Linked DNA regions of Ovis aries. The protein of the gene in region 1 purifies or fractionates together with the protein of each later gene. This does not show direct contact. Links are inferred from orthologs where the notes say so. Each region holds a gene or a part of one and is shown on either strand. Other genes may lie near its edges.

The links.
Region 2: the proteins of SSH1 (region 1) and YWHAE purify together in Homo sapiens (affinity purification with mass spectrometry; 3 studies listed by BioGRID and IntAct, with this or other methods). This does not show direct contact. The link is inferred for Ovis aries from reciprocal best matches to the Homo sapiens genes SSH1 and YWHAE.

Annotation. Positions count from the first base shown.
Region 1 is NC_056070.1:64,290,283-64,294,645, forward strand, and holds the start of SSH1 (protein phosphatase Slingshot homolog 1), read left to right. Parts: upstream 1-1,541; 5' UTR 1,542-1,627; coding exon 1,628-1,696; intron 1,697-4,363. UniProt on the Homo sapiens protein: Protein phosphatase which regulates actin filament dynamics. Dephosphorylates and activates the actin binding/depolymerizing factor cofilin, which subsequently binds to actin filaments and stimulates their disassembly.
Region 2 is NC_056064.1:22,417,589-22,421,400, reverse strand, and holds part of YWHAE (14-3-3 protein epsilon), read left to right. Parts: intron 1-1,768; coding exon 1,769-1,968; intron 1,969-3,812. UniProt on the Homo sapiens protein: Adapter protein implicated in the regulation of a large spectrum of both general and specialized signaling pathways. Binds to a large number of partners, usually by recognition of a phosphoserine or phosphothreonine motif.

The DNA.
Region 1 (4,363 bases):
CACAAATTAAAAAAGAAAATAAATAAAGTGGGGAGAGGGGAGGACTTCCTTGGCATTCCAGTTAAGACTCCCTTCTTCCACTGCAGGGGGTATGGGTTCATCCCTGGTGGGGGAACTAAGATGTCACATAAAAAAAAAAAGTCCAAACCACCCCCCAACCCGCCACAAACCCCGTTGAGAAGAATGATACTGAGGGAATATGGAGGAGGTCCCAGCCCCTGGATCTACGGGAAAGAGCGGGAGTATCGCCCAGGCTGCCTGTGTTGCTGGTTTGGCAGTGAGATGCACGGAACAAGGACTGGACCAGTAAATTTGCGGTTGCGTGCGTGCTTGGGCTGGGTGAAAGAAGAGAAGTAGGGGATTTGGGTGAAACTGACGCTAAGTCAAGCCGCCCTCTTAGTATCTTCCTCCATGTCTCTCTCTCCCATCCCCACACTGGCCACCTACCCCAGGACAACAAGAGCAGCCTATCCCGGGCCTCCCTTCACGCCTCTGTTCCACAGTCCATTCTCTAAGCCTTAGCCAGAGCTTTCTAGAGAGCACCCTGACTCCCTCTTCCCCATCCCTGGGCTTCAGCGGCTGATGAAAATCTTTCCGTTTCCGGCCACTGTGCAGGCTCTCCCCTGGAGATCACGCCCAGCAGTCCACTCCCACCCTCACCCGTTAATCCTGCTCATCCGCCAGGTCTGAGAGCAAATGCACCCTTTTTGGAGACACCCTCCCTAACTTCCCAAGGAGTTAGCTGAGTTTCTGGATACATGGTGGGAATTCATATAAAAAGATGGGCAAAAAAAAAAAAAAGATGGGCAAAGTGAGTTTCTAGCAATTTAATTTACTTTCATAAAATCCCCTGAAAAGTGAAAGTGATGTTACTCAGTCGTGTCCGACTCTTCAGGCAAGAATACTGGAGTGGGTTGCCATTTCCTTCTCCAGGAGATCTTCCCAACCCAGTGATTGAACCCGGGTGTCCTGCATTGTAGGCAGATGCTTTACCATCTGAGCCAAATCCCCTAGGGCAGGTCAATTCTATGTTGTTTACTGTCGAATACTCCACGCGGGGCACTTGATAAGTGCTCAATAAATATTTCATAAACGAATGAATGAACGAACAAACGAATTTATGCAGACCCCTCCTCGAGGTTCAAGGCGCAGGGACGAGCATGTTTTTATTTTCTGTCTCTATGCCTGCTTGCTCCGCGCATTCCAAGCTGCGCGGCCACGGAACCTCAGTTTCCCCGGCCTGCGCAGAGGAGGGGCCTCTTGGGGAGGACTTGCTCGCCGTCGGGCGCGCCCCCGCTTGGCGGGCTGGAGCGGGAGCGCGCGTCGGGTGCGCGCGAGGGATGTGACTGGCTGGCCTGGGCCTCCCGCCGCCCCTCGGGCTTCCCGCGCCGCGCACGCGCACGCGCGCCCCGCGAGGGCCACGCCCCCCGCCCGCGCTCAGGCCCGGCGCGCGCCGGCGCGGGGGGCGGGGGCGGCGGCGGACGCCGACGGGGAGGGGCGGGCCCGGCCCGGCTCGGCCCGGCCGCCCGCGCGCGGCTCCTGGAGCGCCCCGGGCCCGGCCCGGGCGGCGGCGGCGGCTTTAGCCGGAGGCCTCAGCGGCGCCCGGGCGCCGTACCGCACCGCAGCCATGGCCCTGGTGACCCTGCAGCGCTCGCCCACGCCCAGCGCCGCCTCCTCCTCCGCCAGCAACAGCGAGGTGAGCCCCGGGCCCGCGGCCCTGGCCCGGCGGAGCAGCCGCCGCGCGAGGCCTGGGCCGCGAGTGCGGGGCGCGGGGCGCCGGGGGCTGCGCCGGGACAGCTTTGAGGGGTCCTCGGGCCTGCGGGGACCCCGCTGGACGACCCCCTGGGTTGCCGGCCTGGGGTGACTGCAGTGAGACTGTGCAGTGCCGGTGTACCCCCATCTGGGGTTGACTCTGTGTGTGTGACCCCTGTTTGGGGGTGACTGTGCATGAGACGTTGTGTGTGACCCCCGTCGGGGGTGACTGTGTGTAAGTGTGACCCCCGTCTGGGGTTGACTCTGTGTGTGTGTGAGTCCTGTGTGGGGGGTGACTGTGTGTAAGTGTGACCCCCGTCTGGGGGGTGACTAAATGTGTGATACTGCCCCCTCGCCCCATCAGGGGTGACTCTGCAGGGTACTTGTCCTGAGACTGAAACTGCTGATTGGGTAGACTGCCTGAGATGCCGGTTCTGAGATTCCGGACCTTGTGTGTCTCTTCCTGTGTGTTCCGGCCTGTCCCCTGGGGCCCCTGCCTGTGTAGTGCTGGGGGGAGAAGCCGCAGGGGTGCCCCGTGAAGGTGTGAAATTGTTTCTGTAGTGCACGCCCCTGGCTGTGGGTGTGAGTGGCAATCCCTTGTCACTGTGTGACAGTGAGCTCAGGGTGCTGGGTGACAGTGTCTTAGGTCTCTGTGTGCAGCTCAATCTGGGCTCTTCCTGTCCCTGATATCGCCTGAGGCTGGCTGTTTATGTGCAGCTGGCTGTATGGCTGAGGCCGATTCTGGGGTTCCTGTGATCGCCCCCGTGCTTTGGGGGGCTGAATGTGCCTCTCTGAGCAGTGCGGGTTTCTCTGGGTCTGCGTGTGACCCGGCCTGGCTCCTTGCCCTGGAGTCCCTGGGGAATTCGTCCTCTGAGCGCACAGCTGGGCTGGACCGAGCTTGGCTGGGCCTCAGGCCTCTGAGCAGGAGAACTAGTTAGGGCCTTGGGTCTAAACTCAGCATCGGTGGCCAGGCTGAGTGTTGACCCGTAGACACCGCAGCTGGAGGAGGAGACGGGAACTGTTTATAGAGAAGGGAGAGGAGGCTGCTGGGGGAGGGCCCTGCAGGCAGGCCCAGGAAGTGACCCCGCCAGCATCTGGGCAAGTCAGGCCCCTTCTCCCTGGGGGAAGTTGACTGATAACACTGATAACGTTTGTGTGTGTCTGTGAGAGAAGAGGACCTATTTGGGGTTTAACAGCCCTGCCTGTCGGGCCGGCTTCTGGTGGGCAGCTCTTCAGCCTGTTTCGTTGGGACTGGCAGGAACATTTCTCAACCTGGCTGCAGGGTTGAACCTCACAGCCCTGGCCCTCTCAAGGAGAGGCCATTCATGAGTTATCTTGCCTGCAGACAGAAGGTTCTAACAATCCCTGCTCTACACGGCAGCCAGTGGCCTGCAGGTGGGAAGTGAGTGCGGCAGCTTCTCACTTCCCGCAGAGACATCTGTTCCCTTACATCATTTCTACTACCGCTGTCTTGCAGTTTACAAAGTACTCCTCTGCACTTAATTTCATGGTCCCTTCTCAAAACCAATGGGTGAATAAATCAGCTCCAGGAAGAGGTTATTCAGACAGCCTATCAAACCTGAACGTGGAGTGAAAGTGAAAGTCGCTCAGTCCCGTCACACTTTTTGCAACCCCATGGGCTATACTGTCCATGAAATTCTCCAGGCCAGAATACAGGAGTGGTGGGTGAAAAGTGAAAGTGAAGTCACTCAGTTGTGTCTGACTCTTTGTGACCCCATGGATTGTAGCCTACCAGGCTCCTCCCTCCATGGGATTCTCCAGGCAAGAGTACTGGCGTAGGTTGCCATTTCCTTCTCCACAGGATCTTCCCGACCGAAGGATTGAACCCCGGTCTCCCGCATTCCAGGCATTTAACCTTTGAGCCACCAGGGAGTGGTGGGTTGCCTATCCCTTCTCCAGCAGATCTTTCCAACCCAGGGATCAAACCCAGGTCTCTCACATTTCGGATTCTTTACCAGCTGAGCCACCAGGGAAGCCTAAGAATACTGGAGTGGGCTATCCCTTCTCCAGTGGATCATCACGACCTAGGAACCGAACCGGGGTCTCCCGCATTGCAGGCAGATTCTTTACCAACTGAGCTATCAGGGAAGCCTGTCAAGCCTAGGCCTCTGATTCTAAACCCCACCTTCCTTGTGTTACTTTGCATCCAGTCTACTGCTCTAAACACGTTAAAAAAAATTTTTTTTTGACTGTGTTGGGTCTTTGCTGCCCCAAGGCATGTGGGATTTCAGTTCCTTAACCAGGGATCGAACCCTCCTCCCCTGCATTGGAAGGCAGATTCTTACCCTGGACCACCAGGGAAGTTACCACATGTAAAATTTCTTATTATTATTATTTTTAACCAAGATGGAATTCACATACCACAAATCTGCCATTTTAAACTGTACAATTCAGTGGTTTTTAGTACATGCCCAAGGTTGACCAGCCATCACCACAGATTGCAGAACGTTTTCATCACCCCCAAAAGAAACCTCACAGCCCTTAGCCATCACCCACAGCCTCCCTCCCACCAACCCCTGCCCTGCCCTGCCCTCACCAAACTGTAGGCAACCACTAATGTTCTTTCTGTTTCTACGAATTTGGCCTGTCC
Region 2 (3,812 bases), on another chromosome or scaffold:
TGCCACAGTCATTTTTCCATGGCTGTGGTTAAAAAAAATTGGATGTTTCAAGTGAATGCTCTCAGGCTCCCACAATGAATTAATGGTCTTATTACCGTATATGCTCTGGTATTTTTTTTTAAGCTTCAGAATCGCCTTAAAAAATTCAGCGGTATTGAAGTAAGATTTTATAATATACCCAGTTTACACATAAAACTGTTTTAGTAAATGTGTTCAGTTGTGTAACCACCATAGAACAATTCTATTTCCCCAAAATTTCCTTTGTACTCCTTTGCTCATCAGCCCCTCACTTCACCCCCATGTCTTGATAGCCACTTCCTTTTATAGTTTTACAGTTTTTTCTCTAACTCGATTTAAGTGGAATCATAGTCCATTTAGGTCTGGCTTTTTTCAGTTAGCATGGTGTTTTTTAAATTCATCCATGCTGTTACTTGTATCAGTAGTTTTTTATTCTTGAGTAGTATTCCATTGTATGGATGGACATTTGGGTTGTTTTCACCTTTTGAATGTGATAAATAAAGTTGCTCTGGACATGTGTATAGTTTATGGTGTAAGAAACTACACTGTTTTCTAGAGATCATACCATCTTAATGTTTGTATTAACTTACTGTATTAACTCCCTGATATACTTCCTGGAAATACAATTTTTGAAAACATCATTTTGTGGGATTACACATAATTTAGTATATCATTAAGCAGTGTTTCATAAAGTCACCATCTTCAGCATATACTTATTATGTATTATGCATAGAATGTATGCTAAGGATGTTTGTAAAATGCAGATCCTTGTGTCTCATTACCAAAAGTTCTTACTCTGTAAAGTTGGAAGTCACATGGTGGTAACGACATTTAGTCATTTTCAAAACCATAGTTTTAATTAATATATTTGTTTAATTCTTTGCAATTCTTTGTATTTATTTCTTTGCCCGTATCAGATCTTAGTTCCCTGATGAAGGATCAAACCTGGGCCCCCTGCATTGGGAGCACAGAGTCTTAGCCACTGGACCACCAGTGGACCACCAGGGAAGTCCCTTCATTAATTATTTGTTCAGTTAGTGTTTCTTGAGGGGATTTTGGTTCTTCCTTTGCATTCACATGCATTTTATTACATTTTTTCCCCCTGTACTCAAGATCTCCCAGTGTTTATCTGGGCCCCTTTGTTTGCTCGCCATCTAGTGGTAACAAGTAAAAACCACCCAAATGAATGAATTCATAGGTGGTGGACAGTCCCCTTCTAAAGGAGGAAGGATTGGAAAATCCAAAGATAAGTTTGTGACTAACGAAAATGCTCGCTATATGTTTGCTATATAAATGAATGCCCTTTCCTCCCATGACTTTTTTTTGGGGGGGTAGGAATTCAGTATTATTTAGTTGGGAAATAATTTGAGAGAAAATGCATTTTAGAGCCTGTAAATTTAAAACTTTTGTCCTAAATGGCCAGCTGAATTACTTTTACTAGGAAATGGGTTAGGTGTACATGCCTAATTGTCTTACTTACATGAGAGAGATGCCTCCAAGCCATACTAAATTATACTTGGTACTATATGAAGTCATTTTCTAGATCCTCTTGTTCTGAGCTCTTAATTTACTTTGTCTTTTACATGTTTTTTAGTTTTTTTGCTCATGCTAGTTTGATTGTGAAAGCAATATTTTGCTAAAAAATGTGTCTTTTGTTTTACATTAGCTGGACAGAAAAAAAGATTTACTGTGATAGGGATGTTTTAACAAAACTTAGTTTCTAAGGTCTGATTTTTCTTTTCACTTATAGAAATGGTGGAGTCAATGAAGAAAGTAGCAGGGATGGATGTGGAGTTGACAGTTGAAGAAAGAAACCTCCTATCTGTTGCATATAAAAATGTGATTGGAGCTAGAAGAGCTTCCTGGAGAATAATCAGCAGCATTGAACAGAAAGAAGAAAACAAGGGAGGAGAAGACAAACTAAAAATGATTCGGGAATATCGGCAAATGGTGAGATTGTTACATCCTAGTGTTAGAGTCGCTCAGTTGTGTTCTGACTCCTTTGTGACCCCATGGACTGTAGCCCACCAGACTCCTCTGTCCATGGGCTTCTCCAGGCTAGAATACTAGAGTGGGTTGCCATTTGCTTCTCCAGATGATCTTCCCAACCCAGGGATTAAACCTGGGTCTCCTCTATTGCAGGCAGATTCTTTACTGTCTGAGTTACTGGGTGGCCTGCATATCCTAGACATATCTTGTCATATCCTGTGGTTTAGTCGCTAAGTCATGTCCGACTCTTTGCGACCCCATGGGCTGTAGCCCACCAGGCTCCTCTGTCTATGGGATTTTCCAAGCAAGAATACTGGACTGGATTGCCATTTCCTTCTCCAGGGGATCTTCCCAACCCAGGAATCGAACCCAGGTCTCTTGCATTGCAGTCAGATTCTTTACTGACTGAGCTGTGAGGGAAGCCCAAAGATTGATGTCTGAGGTGTTAGACTATTGAGACCTTAGCCTAGTACACACATTGTTGTATACCTGTGTAGTGTATATTTTATATTTTACTGGATTTACATCTTTTACTCATCTGGGTTGAGAATTAGAGGCTATACAGTATTTTAGGAGAGAGAAGACTTTTTTTTTTCCTGAAAGCTGCAGAGAGCACCACACAAGTAGACAACTAATTTAATCATTATTTCTATTGTGGTGACTACAAAATACTTCATTGAGTACCTTGAAATTACCATTCTGGACAGCTTAACCAGTATTCATGTGCCTGTTATGTACATCAGTTGATAGGTAATATGGGTACAAAAATGAGATAGTTAATATCCTTATGAAAGATAGGTCTAGTCAGTTTTTATAATAGAAAATATCAGAGGGTGTCAGGTATTGGTAAGTTTATTGTCTCAGATATTATATGTGGGTTTACACTGATGTGTAATGTTTTTCTTGCTGTGGCTTTTGGTCAAGAAAGTTTAATCTAGTGCACTGGTTCTCAAACCAGAAGTGACTTTGCTCCTCAGAGGACATTTGGTAGAGACATTTTTGGTTTTCACAACTTGAGTGGGTAGAGATGAGGTTACTGCTAAGCATCCTATTAGGCATAGAGTAGCCCCCCCCCCCCCCCCCCCCCCGTTGAGTGTTGAGAAACTGATTCTAAACACACTTTTAAAAGTACAGTGGAAAACAAACAAAAAAATACAGTGGGAGAAATTAAAAAAACTGTCACAAAGTTAGCATGGAGTGAATTTGGTGGATAGAGGGAAAGGGGAAACAGCATTTGCTGACTTACATGATATATTTCTGAATTACAAAATATGTGTGCAAGTTACTGTATTTAATCTTTAAATGACCCTGTAAAGGGTAGATATTATTCTAGTTCCTAGATAAAGACGGGTGTTCTGAGTGATTAACATACCTGGGATCACATAGAAAGTGGTGAGCTGGTACCAGTGTGACCATTACCTTCAAACACATTGGAACGAAGACTAAAGATTGTCGGTATTCAGGTTGGTGTTTCAGAGGGATGAGGAAATGAGGAGGTTGAGAGTGCTGAAGGGAGAAGTCTGTGTGCTAGATTGTGGGATTTGGGGTAAGAAGGAAAGGAAGCAGGAAGCAAAGAGAGGAACTGATAAATTGGGAGAAGATGAAAGAAAAGAGACTGGAGGTCTTGATGTGTCTCTAAGTATAAATAACAGGAGTAAAGGAACTAAAAAAAGAAGTTGTAATCCAGTAGTAAAATATTGGAACTTAAAAATTCCAGGCTAGAATAGCACAGTTAAGAGTGCACAAATAAAGGTCATGGAGTTGAGATCAAGAACTACATTGAAAGGAACATGATAATGCCTTGA